Saccharomyces cerevisiae S288C: one gene and its partners. The gene in region 2 interacts genetically with the main gene of each other region. Each region holds a gene or a part of one and is shown on either strand. Other genes may lie near its edges.

What was found. A genetic interaction does not mean that the proteins touch.
Region 1: mutations in NRT1 (region 2) and GRX5 together harm fitness less than expected from each alone (positive genetic interaction), as found in Saccharomyces cerevisiae (one large-scale study listed by BioGRID).
Region 3: mutations in NRT1 (region 2) and FAS1 together harm fitness more than expected from each alone (negative genetic interaction), as found in Saccharomyces cerevisiae (one large-scale study listed by BioGRID).

The regions. Positions count from the first base shown.
Region 1 is NC_001148.4:442,302-445,531, reverse strand, and holds GRX5 (monothiol glutaredoxin GRX5), read right to left. Parts: upstream 954-3,230; coding exon 501-953; downstream 1-500. UniProt on the Saccharomyces cerevisiae protein: Monothiol glutaredoxin involved in mitochondrial iron-sulfur (Fe/S) cluster transfer. Receives 2Fe/2S clusters from scaffold protein ISU1 and mediates their transfer to apoproteins, to the 4Fe/FS cluster biosynthesis machinery, or export from mitochondrion.
Region 2 is NC_001147.6:458,655-463,552, forward strand, and holds NRT1 (nicotinamide riboside transporter), read right to left. Parts: upstream 2,623-4,898; coding exon 826-2,622; downstream 1-825. Other genes in the region: YOR072W (uncharacterized protein), read left to right, coding at 2,848-3,162. UniProt on the Saccharomyces cerevisiae protein: High-affinity pH-dependent nicotinamide riboside transporter which also transports thiamine with low affinity. Involved in 5-fluorocytosine sensitivity.
Region 3 is NC_001143.9:98,364-106,670, forward strand, and holds the start of FAS1 (tetrafunctional fatty acid synthase subunit FAS1), read left to right. Parts: upstream 1-2,307; coding exon 2,308-8,307. Other genes in the region: YKL183C-A (uncharacterized protein), read right to left, coding at 32-244; LOT5 (Lot5p), read left to right, coding at 358-1,278. UniProt on the Saccharomyces cerevisiae protein: Fatty acid synthetase catalyzes the formation of long-chain fatty acids from acetyl-CoA, malonyl-CoA and NADPH.

The DNA of each region.
Region 1 (3,230 bases), on a different chromosome or scaffold from region 2:
TTTGACTAACATATTTGAAAGCTTCGCAGGGCAATAAAATTGAGCTCGCCTATTATCTTCCAATCCTTTTACGTTAAAAAAAATGGGGGAAAAGCAAACTGGTAACAGTACGGAATCTATCGAAAATCAAGAGAGTAACAAAGACAACCCCAACAAATGTCTGTCGCGTCTTTCGCACGTTGAATCAGAACGAAGATATGGCTTCTGTCATTCTAAAACTAACGTTTTTTGATTCAAGTCTATGCGGGGAATATTAAATATATTCATAATTCTCACTTCTTTGTTTTATAACGTCAATTCATTTGGCAAAGCAAAGAGAGGGGTTTGTAAGTAGAGAATCTGTTATTTACAAGTCTAAAGGCATGAGAATACATTACAAATCTTTAAAAAAATAGCAAATGTACATGCATATATAAATATGGATCGTAAAGGCCTATTATGCACACGAGTATTAAAGTGTTCGGCCACCAGTTCCTATTTTGCTTCCAGTGGTAACAAAATCAACGATCTTTGGTTTCTTCTTCTTCTTCAGGTACCAATGCCTGTGCCTCTTCTAGCAAATCGGCCAATTCACCAGAGCGTGCCATACTTGTAATAACATCACATCCACCAATGAATTCTTTGTTTACATATAACTGTGGAATAGTTGGCCATTCTGAAAACTCTTTGATACCTTCACGTAGCTCTGGGTCTTCTAAAACATTATAAGCCGCAAATTTGGCCGGGTCAACGCCTTGATTTCCTAATAATCCAATGGTTGCTCTTGAAAATCCACACTTGGGAAATTCAGGAGTACCTTTCATGAAAAGAACCACTGGAGCCGATTCGATGGCATCTTCAATAGCTTTTCTTATCTCTGTGCTCAAATACATCCGATTTTGGTAACGAAGAAGAGTCTTAGCCCGGAGGATGGGGGAAAATGACCTTATGGGATTGAATTTTGGGAGAAACATTGTCTGATTTCCTCAAATTTTTGCTAAAGTCAAAAAGTAAACAGATACCTTTGTGGCCTTGATATATGTGAAAAGAGTAATACAACTTCTTGTCCCTTTGGGACTAGAACGCATTTGTCATCAATACTTTATACCTTTACTTCCTAGAAGTGATTTATTTTGGTCGGGTAACGTTTTTCCAATAAGCTCAGATCAGTGCCAAATACCGGTTTAGACTCTTTACGGCACTAGTTATGCTTTATTGAATAAATTAAGCTCTGTATACTAAATTTAGAATCTCATGATTCCGTATGTAGTAAATTAACAGTTTGTACTATATTATAAAGAAGAATGAATGCATTGAACTTTTTGATCACAAGAAAAGTTGGCGTAGCAATACAACATACCTACTGTTCTCTCTTTGTTCGTGGTACCTTAATTAGTATTGTCGTAAGAAAATCTAAATGTCTTCTTTGGGCTAACTTATGATTTGCATACTTCTACAGTCGTCATAATGGACACCTTGTAATAAAAAGTGATGTGGTTCTCATCTGTTATAATAAATGGCTATGTGCGGCATTCGATGTCGTTTGAGATATTGACTACTAATGTATATTGAGATAAATCTGGCTGTTACCACAATTTGTCATTAGGTAGAAACGATAGCGCATGCTTAAAATAATTATGGATAGAAAACAGCAGTCGCGCTGTATGTAGAAAATATAAAACACATAAGTGATTCAGATCAGAACCCTCCTAAATCCCTAAAATATAGAAGTTCATTACATGGCAGTGATATATTAGAGGTTACCATCCTTTCTTAATATTGATAAGGCTACTAAATTAAGTGTTACTGGAACCTAGTTTCGCTTAATTCCTTTAGCTTTTGCATTCTATTTTTTCTTTTAATCAATCACTAATGAAGAAGCCTTAAGTCAGATAATGCCGTATCTAAGTATTCCTTTTGTAATAGCTCAATTTGTTAAAATACTCGTTCTCCTTGTGTTCTAGTGCATCAATTATCCATAATAATAAGCATATACTCGTACTGAATTATTCAATGGCCTAAATGGCAAGCACTAGCTTGCTCGAAGTTACTAACTGAACTATAAAACATTTTACTCTTTCAATTACTTTTAATTGAATCTTAAGCAGAATCAAAACTGCTTATGACTGCCATATGCTCAATGCGATGGCTCATATTTTCCATTTACATGAACCCCAGTTTATGTTCAAGTAGTATATGTTCTTAATTCAACGCAAACTGCTGATTTCACCATTGAATATTGTTTATATATGATATATACCGTCAAATTACTTCACGACAGTGTGAACTGTGATAAATCACTTGTTCCAACAAAATCCAGTACATTGGGTATTCGATCGCAGGCAATTATATTAATCGGGTATGCTAATATGGATTAGAGCCGTAGAAGCAGAACAAGGAGAATTACTTAATATTTGAAGTTCATTTAATATTCTTTGATTGTTGGAACGAGAGTAATTAATAGTGACATGAGTTGCTATGGTAACAATCTAATGCTTACATCGTATATTAATGTACAACTCGTATACGTTTAAGTGTGATTGCGCCTATTGCAGAAGGAATGTTAAACGAGAAGCTCAGACAATACTGAAGCTGTGTTAAAGACCTATTAGTTGAACATGATATGGTAGGTACATATATGAGGAATATGAGTCGTCACATCAATGTATAGTAACTACCGGAACCACTATTATATTGGTCATGATTAATATGACCAATCGGCGTGTGTTTTATATACCTCTCTTATTTAGTATAAGAAGATCAGTACTCACTTCTTCATTAATACTAATTTTTTACCTCTAATTATCAACATGGCGACCCCAGTGAGGGATGAAACAAGAAATGTTATTGACGACAACATTTCTGCGCGGATTCAATCGAAAGTCAAAACAAATGATACTGTCAGACAGACGCCATCATCATTAAGAAAAGTTTCTATTAAAGATGAACAGGTGAAACAATATCAAAGAAACTTAAATAGGTTTAAAACCATACTAAATGGTTTAAAGGCAGAAGAGGAAAAACTTTCTGAGACTGATGATATTCAGATGCTAGCTGAAAAATTATTAAAACTCGGAGAAACCATTGACAAGGTTGAGAATAGGATTGTGGATCTAGTTGAAAAGATACAATTATTGGAAACAAACGAGAACAATAATATATTACATGAACATATAGATGCTACAGGGACTTACTATTTATTCGATACGTTAACTTCAACCAACAAAAGATTCTACCCTAAGGATTGTGTT
Region 2 (4,898 bases):
AGTTCGTACAGCAAGTCTATGCATGCTTTCCTCAAAAGAACTACCCAAATATAAACACATATACAAAAATTCAGATTTTACATTTCAGGTTTCCATAATATGTTAAAAGCTAGATCTTACATAGTGTCGGGAACAGGTCATTCTAAAAAAAGTAAAATAAAATAAAAGGGTTTCAAAGATCCATACTTCTCTACATTCTCTGACTTTTTAAAACTGTGTACTGGCGACCAATCGACAAATCTGCAACCCCAGCTTCATAAGCTTTCTCTCCCACCAGCAAAGCCTGGACCTCCCTGGTTCTAATAATGAGCGACTGAAGTTTTCCAAAAGAAACCTTCACTAAACATGTTATGCTCCTCAATCACGCGATGAAATAAAGGCCTATTTTTTGATCCAACGCCTTTGAAAATTTCCTTATGGCTGGGTGGGGTACCTACCATGAACATGTTAAAGGTAAGTGGTGGCATATTATGGAGTTACGCCCGTATACCAGAGTAATAATGTTGCCGCCGGATAGGCATGGCGCCCCCACCGGATTCTCTTGCTATATGGATGGCATAATTAGCTTATGAAAGGATTGGTAAGAATATGTCTTCTAGCAAGAAAATACTAAGAACCAATAGTTCCTTTTTTTATAAAATTATTGAGCCATACACAATAATGCCGATATTTGTCACCATAGACATACTTGACAGTAAAGTATTTGCAGCTGAGGATCGATCTGGTAGTATTCCCAAATTGTAAGATCTGTACAGATTTTCAAATGAAGCGTTGAAGTTTCCTCTTTGTATATTTGAGATCTTCATTTTATCGGATTCTTTGTCATCAGACAACTTGTTGAGTGGTACTAAAGGAGTGCTTTTCATCATCCTTTTGGTGAACGATTTCAAATACGTTAGTGTTTTCTGAGCTAGTTTTGATCAATTCAGGTGATTCGTTATCAGAACTCTCAGGTTTGTATTCGTGTCCAGTTGTGTAGCATTCGCCTAACGTGTAAGCACGGATTTCTTCCTCAGAAATTTCACTGTATGGAATCATGCCCTTCTTTCTCGCTTCTTCGTCGGTAAATGCACCATAGTAATCTTTGTCATCATGTCTAACAGTAATTTTGAATGGGAAGAAGACACATAGCCCCCAGTAAACGAAAAAAGAAATCAAAAAGGAGAAGAAAGAATCACCATAAAAGAATTTAACAATACCTGAGTCGTGGAAATAGTTATTGTTGACTTCCCAAGCGATACCAGGTAGACCGGGAGCCATACCACACACCCAGGCAACGATAGCTCTCCAGTTGACACCCTTGGTAAAATAGTATTCACCCTTTAGAATAAAGGCATTAGTAATGGAATATTGCCTCTTCCTGATCAGAAAGTTATCACAGATCATGACAGCAATAATAGGAGTCATGACAACACCGAAAGAACTCATGACAGTTAAGAAAGTAGAAGAAGAGTTGTAGAAGTTCCATGGCAAACAAGCCCAGGAGATACATGCGCAAAAAAGAGCACCTCTCTTGATATCGACGTATTTGGGCAACAAACCGGCCATATCCATACCAGTGGCAAACCCACAGTTGGAGATGGTGGAGGACATTTGAGACATGGTAAAGCAAAGACCACAGAAGAAGGCACCTGCGCGAGCGCCTGCAGAATAGTTGTTTGTCAACCAATAATCGAATATATCCATGGGCATCCAAAATTGTTTACCGTATAATTTGTCGCAGGTGGAGGCACTAATGACACCGAAGATTGGGACCAAGGTTGCTGGGATTAGTAATGCACAGACGCTACCGGTCCAGATAGCCAAATTGGAGGAACCGAATCTTGAATAGTCACTTTGGTTGGTGGAACCTGGAGAAATGGAACCGAACCAGTATGAAATCATGTAAACCCAAGCCCATGCTCTTTTAGAACCAGTAACGGTAGATTTTGTGGAGGTAAACAATTCACCGACACCATGGGCATTCTTAGTCAAGTAAATCACTATACCCAGCATGGCAAAGCAAGTAGCTACACATGACCAAATTAAAAGGTAGTTCATATGGTAGGGTTTCATGAAATAGCAGAGCGCGGTGAGGACGTGGAAAATAATGAAGCCGACCAACTGCTTGGTGGTCATGGCAACACTTGGGGACAAAGTATTGGGCAGGTGCAGATAGTGGTGGGACCAGGAATCTAATATCATGTTGATAGATAGACCACCCAACCAAGCGTTGGAACCATAATTGACAATACTCATCAAAATTCTAATGATGATACCGAAGGCTGAACCGTAAATGCCAAAAACGAATCTTTGGGCCAAGGTGAAACCGATTTTCCAATCATAACCGGGGTAAGAGTTGGCCATAGTGAAAATAATGGTCAAGACATTACCGAGAAGAAACGAAACAATGGTCTCTGGGTAACTTAGGCCGACACTTAGTGCAGCAGAACCACTCATCCATGTACCTGCTGTAAAGGACACAGCGCCCCAGTACGCCAAATTAGACCAGAACCCCCATGTTTGATTTGCAGACTTGATAGGTTGCAAATCAGGGTTCCTCAGAAAATTCACGGCAGTCCTATTTTTGGCAGGAATTTCTAAATATCTCAAAAACTTAGAGACTATACTACTGAAGCTCATGATGATACAGGTGCTGAAGTCCTTTTTTTGATAGTTATAATGGGGATATCAGTACAATAAAGAATAATATAAATTCTGCAATAGGAAATAATATAGGTAATTGTTCTTGATAATTCTGGAGTTTATAAGATTTTAACTCTATTTATGAGAATAGAGAAGGAAAATTAAAACTACAATAGCGAATGCAAATTTTTTTCCCCGAAGAACAAATAGCGGTAGCAACACATGCTGACGAAAGTTGTGTTCCTCTTTTTTTGGAGCAGGTCTGACTCAACTAAAAAGCTAGCTGCATGCAACCACGCTACATTGGCACACTATATCCTGACGCCCGCGCTATACTCTGACGCCTGCGCTATATATTCTGACGTCTACTCCATAACTATTATAGTAGTGGCCACTGTTGTTCGTAACCCGGCGCGGTGTTCGCTCCGAGCACGAAAATTCTGTCGTTTATTCTCTTCCTTCTTCCAGTTCCATTACTTAAAGGAGCTGTTTTATTTCATTCGAAAGCCCGATGACAAATTCTCCTCTTTCATATAAATTAATAAGGCGGTCAGCAGGAAACTCCTATTGCCAACCGTCTTGCGAACCGACCGGTCGCTGCGCGCGATCATGCGTCCACGCGCTTCTGTGGCGACGGACGACTACAGCAAGACATTACTCTGGTCATTTACGCCTGGCGCCCAGAATGTACAAGCGCAGACGGCCAGATCATATGATGAAACGGAATAGTCCCAGCTATACCGGTGATCACAAGACGTAGTTACATAGATGCCTTGGCGCCGACACGATATTTCTTGTCGTTCTGTGCCAGTAATTCCTTTTCTTCTCGACTATGCCTCTAAGACGTCAGTCTTGGAAGCATAGTCTTCGTAAAAAAATTTTTTTTTTGAGGTTTTTGCTTCCATTTCTTTAGACTGAACTAATTTATTTTTTTTATTATTATTCAGTAATTTTTATATATTTATTTATGGACTTATTGAGGTGCTTTGGGGGTGATGACGTCCCCAGTGAGGCCCCCAGGGTAGTGGACCGCACCTAACTTCCCATTCATGATGTGATTACGCATTTTAATCTTGTCTATATGTTCTACAATGATGGCGTCAGTGCCAATGCCGTTCGCATCTATGAGGGAGATGAACTCGCTCTCGGCCGTTGGGTTTGAGGCGGTGCCGTAGTGTCCGCCTTCATTCCGGCTTCGCGGTGTCTACGAGGCATTCATTTTATGTCGCGGCAACTACTTGATATTTTCCACCAGGCACAAGGAGAAACATGGAGAAATTATATATAGAGAACTATGAGTCCTGAGGCGGCCGTTCAGTAGCTCAGATTGCCAGGGTTAAAAATTGCTCCTTGGCATCCTATGTGCTGCATACTAAAAAATTTTTAGCCACGTAGTTGTATACTTTTGTTTCCGGGGATGAGAAATTAGCCCCAGGTCCCAGACTTACAACAAGGTAGATAGGGGGGCGCACCTTGTCGTCATGAGACCCATTTCGTAGAAACTTGAATTTGTTGTTGTTACTTCTGTTTTCAAGTAGGAGTAACGAGGCCGCGTACAATTTGCCAGTGGATTTGTCGCCTGCAGCAGCGGCCGCGACGCGACGGGTTGATCCAATTTTGTGCTTGCTTCTTCAACTGAATATTTTGAGTCCACTGCATGTGGAAAACAGAGTTTTCAGTCAGTCTTGTATGTATATTATTCTCTTTAGCTCCAGAATTTCTGCTGTGCTTAGTAACTTCTTGCCGTTGAGCTGATTTTAGTAGTATAATTTTTTTGCAACTCTACTGATATCAAGAGCAGTGATATGTGCTTTAATGTTGGCATTTCTTTCAAGCCAATCACCTTCTACCATTGGTCACGGTCTCAGTATATTTGTCGTAAATATTAGTACTCTAGTCTGGTCAGAGAAGTGGCCTTTCTCCCACCAAAACGTTGTTGTTCTGTCTTTTTTCTTATTATTTACTATTTATTGGATTTATCAAAAATTCCTCAGGAACAAGATTTAATATTCTTGAAAATCCTGTATGTCATAAATCATGAGCTTGGAAATTGACACGAAATATCGGATGGCACTACTTGATGATCGTTTTTATCACTACCGCTGTACTTTAATTTCATAATTTATTTGGTGACATTTCTCTTGAAGATCTGGCAAGATGTACACGGGGAGCTCCTTCAACTGTTAAAAATATTTTTAAAAGTAAAGACGTCACCATACTTTTTCACCATAAGAACAATTACTGGTCCAGATTAAGAACGGTTGGAGTAAGAG
Region 3 (8,307 bases), on a different chromosome or scaffold from region 2:
TTTTACAATTTTTTATAATTTTTTTTTATGTTTAGTGTATATTTGCTAGAAAGAAACAAGATCTTTTTTGGTAGTGTAAATGCTTAAACTTTGTCTCTTTTTCCTTTTTACTTTGGAAAAATGCCGACGCAAGAACATAGACATCTGCGAAAACCAAAAATAAAGTACCAATTGTACATACAAAAACAGAGAAAAAGTTCATGAACAGAACGTTACTACGGTATAGCAAGATCTTTGAATACATCCATTACTTCGGATTGTTCACCATACTTCAACACAGGCCAAGATAGACCATAGCTACAGTGATAGACGAATATTTATTTCAAAAGAAGCATCAACCATAAAATAAAAAGAAAAATGATGAAAAAAAAACCAAAGTGCCAAATTGCAAGGACCAAACCATCGGTCGAAAACGTCATACCATATAACCAATTCAAGAAGACGCAGCCGCGATTCAACGGCAACTTTTCTGCACTGAATAATGAAGAATACATAATACTCTTTGGCGGAGGTCGGGACCTGATACTAGGCTCCCTGACACCTTGTTCGAGCTCTCATTTGTCCAATCAAGCCAACCCACAAGACACCAGTGAGTATGGCACAGACCTGTTTATACTCAACAGCTGCATTATCATTTGGTTCAATGGCTTGGGATATGGGCTGGAAATTCCCTACAGCAGCGTTTTGTACCATGCATCAAGACGGCTACCAGATGGTAGGGAAGGGCTTCAATTAGAAATTTTGCTGACTTTGGAAAGAGACGAAGTGTTGGACATGCTCTACCAAAGCCTCGCGCCACAGGCCTGCGAATTCGACGGCGAAGAAGCACATGCCTTCACCGTGCGCAGCGTGGAATTGACTATCAGGCCCAAATATTCAATATACGATCGCCATTATAACAACGAAATCGAAACCCTTTTCACCTTCGAAAACTTCGGCGTGAACAGGGGCGATGACCTGGTAAACAATTGTAACGAAGCACTAGCCGTATGCATGGACCTGCACGGTGAGGACGTACAAGATCAAGACCAGGAACAATACCAAGATCCAAGCATGGCGTTTGAGGGTGCGCAAGATCTCAACGCCACGTATTCTGGGCTTGGAGACACCCTTCACGGGCCGCCCGTGTATCAGAACGACGGGCTGGCAGACGATCTGGATGGCGACCTCGTTATGGACAACGTGGTCTCTAGGGGTGGTCCAGAAGCAAGTATGTCTATGGAGTTCTACGCAAATCAAAATCTTGCTGGCAGAAAGAACTCCAGAGACAATGAATGAACAACATCTATTATGGGAACATCCCGCTGTACTATGCGGTCTCGTCCTCTACGAATATGGCTATTTGCCTTCGTATATACCTTTCTATACCAAGTAATGAATGTCTTGAGGGCCCGTATGGCCGCGCGAAGGCTTAGTTAAGATGTTTCAGCAAACGGCAGCATGTGAAAAAACCCGTAGAAGGTCCGCATCAGCCTTCCATGCCCGTGCACCCACGGCTCCTCGGAGGCCGGGTTATAGCAGCGTCTGCTCCGCATCACGATACACGAGGTGCAGGCACGGTTCACTACTCCCCTGGCCTCCAACAAACGACGGCCAAAAACTTCACATGCCGCCCAGCCAAGCATAATTACGCAACAGCGATCTTTCCGTCGCACAAGTTAAAAGAAATTGTTGAAAAATACAAATAATCGCGAACAATACGTTGTTGCTATTTAACGCTTTTGGTCTGACAGTAAGTGTGCCTTTCCCAATCACCGAAAAGTGTTGAACGATTCACTGCGACAATAATCAGAGATTACAGTCGGCATTTTGGCATTTTTGGCATACTTTTTATCGATTGAACCATCTTCTCCAAACACTTTTCCTTTTTCCTTCTATTCTGCAGGACCAACTAAAACTGGGTATATATATCATTATCTATATATATAAACGGCTTTCAACAAAGTTATAGGGGAAAACTAAAAATATAAGAAAAAAAAAGGTATTGATTGATAAGGAAAAAGAACCAAGGGAAAAATATAAAAAAGTACATTGGGCCTTTTCATACTTGTTATCACTTACATTACAAAGAAGAACAAACAACTTTTTTAAACGAATTTTCTTTCTTCCTTTTTCAATTTATTAATTCTTTTTTTCCATACAATTCAAGGTCAAATATATTCTTATATGCTCTTTGAATATTTCTGAAAAATATATAAAGAAAAGAAACTACAAGAACATCATCCGGAAAATCAGATTATAGACTAGGATTCCGCTCTTTTTAGTATATTTATTCGCCACACCTAACTGCTCTATTATTCGCTCATTATGGACGCTTACTCCACAAGACCATTAACCCTATCTCACGGTTCTTTAGAGCACGTGCTTCTGGTACCAACCGCTTCATTTTTCATTGCTTCGCAATTACAAGAACAATTTAATAAAATTTTGCCCGAACCCACTGAAGGGTTTGCTGCAGATGACGAGCCTACCACACCTGCTGAACTAGTGGGGAAATTCCTTGGCTACGTATCTTCTCTAGTCGAACCTTCCAAGGTCGGTCAATTCGATCAGGTCTTGAACCTTTGCTTAACAGAATTTGAAAACTGTTATTTAGAAGGCAATGACATTCACGCCTTGGCTGCTAAACTATTACAGGAAAACGACACAACTTTAGTGAAGACTAAAGAACTAATTAAAAATTATATTACCGCCAGAATAATGGCTAAGAGACCATTTGACAAAAAATCCAACTCTGCTCTTTTTAGGGCCGTCGGCGAGGGTAACGCACAATTGGTAGCCATTTTCGGTGGTCAAGGTAACACCGACGACTACTTTGAAGAATTGCGTGATCTATATCAAACTTATCATGTCTTAGTGGGAGATTTAATCAAGTTCTCCGCTGAAACTTTAAGTGAACTGATTAGAACTACTTTAGATGCTGAAAAAGTCTTTACTCAAGGTTTAAACATATTGGAATGGTTGGAGAACCCTTCAAATACCCCAGACAAGGACTATTTACTTTCCATTCCAATTTCATGCCCCTTAATTGGTGTCATTCAATTGGCTCACTACGTAGTTACTGCCAAGCTTTTGGGTTTCACTCCAGGTGAGTTAAGATCTTACTTAAAAGGTGCTACAGGTCACTCTCAAGGTTTGGTTACTGCTGTCGCCATAGCTGAGACGGATTCCTGGGAATCCTTCTTCGTCTCCGTAAGAAAAGCAATTACTGTATTATTCTTCATCGGTGTTCGTTGTTACGAAGCATACCCAAACACTTCCCTACCACCATCCATCTTGGAAGATTCCTTGGAAAACAATGAAGGTGTTCCATCTCCAATGTTGTCCATTTCCAATCTAACTCAAGAACAAGTTCAAGACTATGTAAATAAGACTAACTCTCATTTGCCAGCTGGTAAACAAGTTGAAATTTCTCTAGTCAATGGTGCGAAGAATCTAGTCGTATCGGGCCCACCACAATCATTATATGGTTTAAACTTGACTTTAAGAAAGGCCAAGGCCCCATCTGGACTGGATCAATCAAGAATCCCATTCAGCGAAAGAAAATTGAAGTTCTCCAATAGGTTCTTACCTGTTGCATCACCATTCCATTCCCATCTATTGGTTCCAGCTTCAGATTTGATTAACAAAGACTTAGTCAAAAACAATGTCAGCTTTAACGCTAAAGATATTCAAATCCCCGTTTACGACACTTTTGATGGTTCAGATCTAAGAGTCCTTTCAGGTTCCATTTCCGAGAGAATCGTCGACTGCATCATTAGATTACCTGTCAAATGGGAAACTACTACACAATTCAAAGCCACCCACATATTAGACTTTGGTCCAGGTGGAGCTTCCGGTTTAGGTGTTTTAACCCATCGTAATAAAGATGGTACTGGTGTTCGTGTTATCGTTGCCGGTACTCTCGACATTAACCCAGATGATGATTACGGATTCAAGCAAGAAATCTTTGATGTTACTAGTAATGGTTTGAAGAAAAATCCAAACTGGTTGGAAGAATACCATCCAAAATTAATTAAGAACAAATCAGGCAAAATTTTTGTCGAAACAAAATTTTCTAAATTAATCGGTAGACCACCTTTATTGGTTCCTGGTATGACACCATGTACTGTTTCTCCAGATTTCGTAGCTGCTACCACAAATGCTGGTTATACCATTGAGTTGGCCGGTGGTGGTTACTTTTCCGCAGCAGGTATGACCGCCGCTATTGATTCTGTGGTTTCTCAGATAGAAAAGGGTAGTACCTTCGGTATCAACTTGATCTACGTCAATCCATTTATGTTACAATGGGGTATTCCATTAATCAAGGAACTAAGAAGCAAAGGTTATCCAATTCAATTCTTGACCATTGGTGCTGGTGTCCCATCATTGGAAGTTGCTAGTGAATACATAGAGACATTAGGTTTGAAGTACTTGGGTTTGAAACCAGGTTCCATTGATGCTATTTCGCAAGTTATAAACATTGCTAAAGCACATCCAAACTTCCCAATAGCTTTACAATGGACCGGTGGTAGAGGTGGTGGTCATCATTCTTTCGAAGATGCCCACACTCCAATGTTACAAATGTACTCCAAGATTAGAAGACATCCAAACATTATGTTGATATTCGGTTCTGGTTTCGGTTCTGCTGATGACACTTACCCATACTTAACCGGTGAATGGTCCACAAAATTCGATTATCCACCAATGCCATTCGATGGTTTCCTATTTGGTTCGAGGGTCATGATTGCTAAGGAAGTTAAAACTTCTCCTGATGCTAAGAAGTGTATTGCTGCTTGTACTGGTGTTCCTGATGATAAATGGGAACAAACCTACAAGAAGCCAACTGGTGGTATTGTCACTGTTCGCTCTGAAATGGGTGAACCAATTCACAAAATTGCCACTCGTGGTGTTATGCTATGGAAGGAATTCGACGAAACCATCTTCAACTTACCAAAGAATAAGTTGGTACCAACTTTGGAAGCAAAGAGAGATTACATTATCTCAAGATTGAACGCCGATTTCCAAAAACCATGGTTTGCTACCGTCAACGGTCAAGCCCGTGACCTAGCCACAATGACATACGAAGAAGTTGCAAAGAGATTGGTGGAATTAATGTTCATCAGATCTACCAACTCTTGGTTTGATGTCACATGGAGAACCTTTACTGGTGATTTCCTACGTCGTGTCGAAGAACGTTTCACTAAAAGTAAGACATTGTCTTTAATCCAATCCTATTCTCTACTAGACAAGCCTGATGAAGCTATTGAAAAAGTATTTAATGCTTATCCTGCCGCTAGGGAACAGTTCTTGAATGCGCAAGATATTGATCACTTTTTGAGCATGTGTCAAAATCCAATGCAAAAACCAGTGCCTTTTGTTCCAGTTTTGGATCGTAGATTCGAGATTTTTTTCAAAAAAGATTCGTTATGGCAATCTGAGCACTTGGAAGCCGTCGTCGACCAAGACGTTCAAAGAACATGTATCCTACATGGACCTGTTGCAGCACAATTCACTAAAGTCATCGATGAACCAATTAAGAGCATTATGGATGGTATTCACGATGGTCACATCAAAAAGTTACTACATCAATATTACGGTGACGATGAGTCAAAGATTCCAGCAGTTGAGTACTTTGGTGGTGAAAGCCCTGTAGACGTACAAAGTCAAGTTGATTCTTCCTCTGTATCTGAAGACTCAGCTGTTTTTAAGGCAACATCCTCTACTGATGAAGAAAGCTGGTTTAAGGCTTTGGCGGGATCCGAAATTAACTGGAGACATGCAAGTTTCTTATGTTCCTTTATCACTCAAGATAAAATGTTTGTTTCTAACCCAATTAGAAAAGTTTTCAAGCCAAGCCAAGGAATGGTTGTTGAGATTTCCAACGGCAATACTTCTTCAAAGACTGTTGTCACTCTTTCAGAACCTGTTCAAGGTGAATTGAAACCAACTGTTATTTTGAAGTTGTTGAAGGAGAACATAATCCAAATGGAAATGATTGAGAACAGAACTATGGATGGTAAGCCCGTCAGCTTGCCATTGTTGTACAACTTCAACCCAGATAATGGTTTTGCTCCAATCTCTGAAGTTATGGAGGACAGAAACCAAAGAATTAAGGAAATGTACTGGAAATTATGGATTGATGAGCCTTTCAATTTGGACTTTGACCCAAGAGATGTCATTAAGGGCAAAGATTTCGAGATCACCGCTAAAGAAGTTTATGACTTTACACACGCTGTTGGAAACAATTGTGAAGACTTCGTTTCTAGACCTGATAGAACGATGTTGGCCCCAATGGACTTTGCTATTGTTGTCGGATGGAGAGCCATCATCAAGGCCATTTTCCCTAATACGGTCGATGGTGACTTATTGAAGTTGGTTCATTTGTCTAACGGCTACAAGATGATTCCTGGCGCTAAGCCACTGCAAGTTGGTGATGTTGTTTCAACTACTGCTGTTATTGAATCTGTCGTCAACCAACCTACAGGAAAGATTGTCGATGTGGTAGGTACATTATCGAGAAATGGCAAGCCTGTCATGGAAGTCACCTCCTCATTCTTCTACAGAGGCAACTATACTGACTTTGAAAACACTTTCCAAAAGACTGTTGAACCTGTTTATCAAATGCACATCAAAACTTCTAAAGATATAGCTGTCTTGCGCTCTAAGGAGTGGTTCCAATTGGACGATGAAGACTTCGATCTGTTAAACAAAACTTTGACTTTCGAAACTGAAACTGAAGTTACTTTCAAGAATGCTAACATCTTCTCTTCAGTGAAATGTTTTGGCCCAATTAAAGTTGAATTGCCAACCAAAGAAACCGTGGAGATCGGTATTGTCGATTACGAAGCCGGTGCCTCTCACGGTAACCCTGTTGTTGATTTCTTGAAGAGAAACGGTTCCACATTGGAACAAAAGGTCAATCTAGAAAATCCTATTCCAATTGCAGTACTTGATTCGTACACTCCAAGTACCAACGAACCATACGCTAGAGTTTCTGGTGATTTGAATCCAATTCACGTTTCACGTCATTTTGCCTCTTACGCAAACTTGCCAGGTACTATCACGCACGGTATGTTTTCTTCTGCTTCCGTCCGTGCTTTGATTGAAAACTGGGCTGCTGACAGTGTTTCATCCAGGGTACGTGGCTACACTTGTCAATTTGTTGACATGGTTTTGCCTAACACTGCTTTGAAAACATCGATTCAACATGTTGGTATGATCAATGGTAGAAAATTGATAAAGTTTGAAACTAGAAATGAAGATGACGTTGTAGTTTTGACTGGTGAAGCCGAAATTGAACAACCTGTTACTACCTTCGTTTTCACTGGTCAAGGTTCACAAGAACAAGGTATGGGTATGGACTTATACAAAACTTCTAAAGCTGCTCAAGATGTTTGGAATAGAGCTGACAACCATTTCAAGGACACTTATGGTTTCTCTATCTTAGACATTGTCATTAACAACCCAGTTAACTTAACAATTCACTTCGGTGGTGAAAAGGGTAAGAGGATCAGAGAAAACTATTCTGCTATGATCTTTGAGACTATCGTGGATGGAAAATTGAAGACTGAAAAAATTTTCAAGGAAATTAATGAGCACAGTACTTCTTACACATTTAGATCTGAAAAAGGTTTATTGTCTGCTACTCAATTTACACAACCAGCTTTAACTTTGATGGAAAAAGCTGCTTTCGAAGACTTGAAATCTAAAGGTTTGATCCCAGCCGATGCTACTTTTGCTGGTCACTCTTTAGGTGAGTATGCTGCTTTGGCCTCTTTGGCTGATGTTATGTCTATCGAATCTTTAGTTGAAGTTGTGTTCTACAGAGGTATGACTATGCAAGTTGCTGTTCCAAGAGATGAGTTGGGCAGATCCAACTATGGTATGATTGCCATTAACCCAGGTAGAGTCGCTGCATCATTCTCTCAAGAAGCTTTGCAATATGTTGTTGAGAGAGTTGGTAAGAGAACCGGCTGGTTGGTTGAAATCGTCAACTACAACGTTGAAAACCAACAATATGTTGCAGCTGGTGATCTAAGAGCTTTAGACACCGTTACCAATGTTCTAAACTTCATCAAATTACAAAAAATTGATATTATTGAACTACAAAAGTCCTTATCTTTGGAAGAAGTTGAAGGTCATTTGTTTGAGATCATTGACGAAGCTTCCAAGAAATCTGCTGTCAAGCCTCGCCCACTTAAATTGGAGAGAGGTTTTGCTTGTATCCCATTAGTTGGTATTTCTGTTCCTTTCCATTCCACCTACTTGATGAATGGTGTTAAACCATTCAAGAGTTTCTTGAAGAAGAATATCATAAAAGAAAAT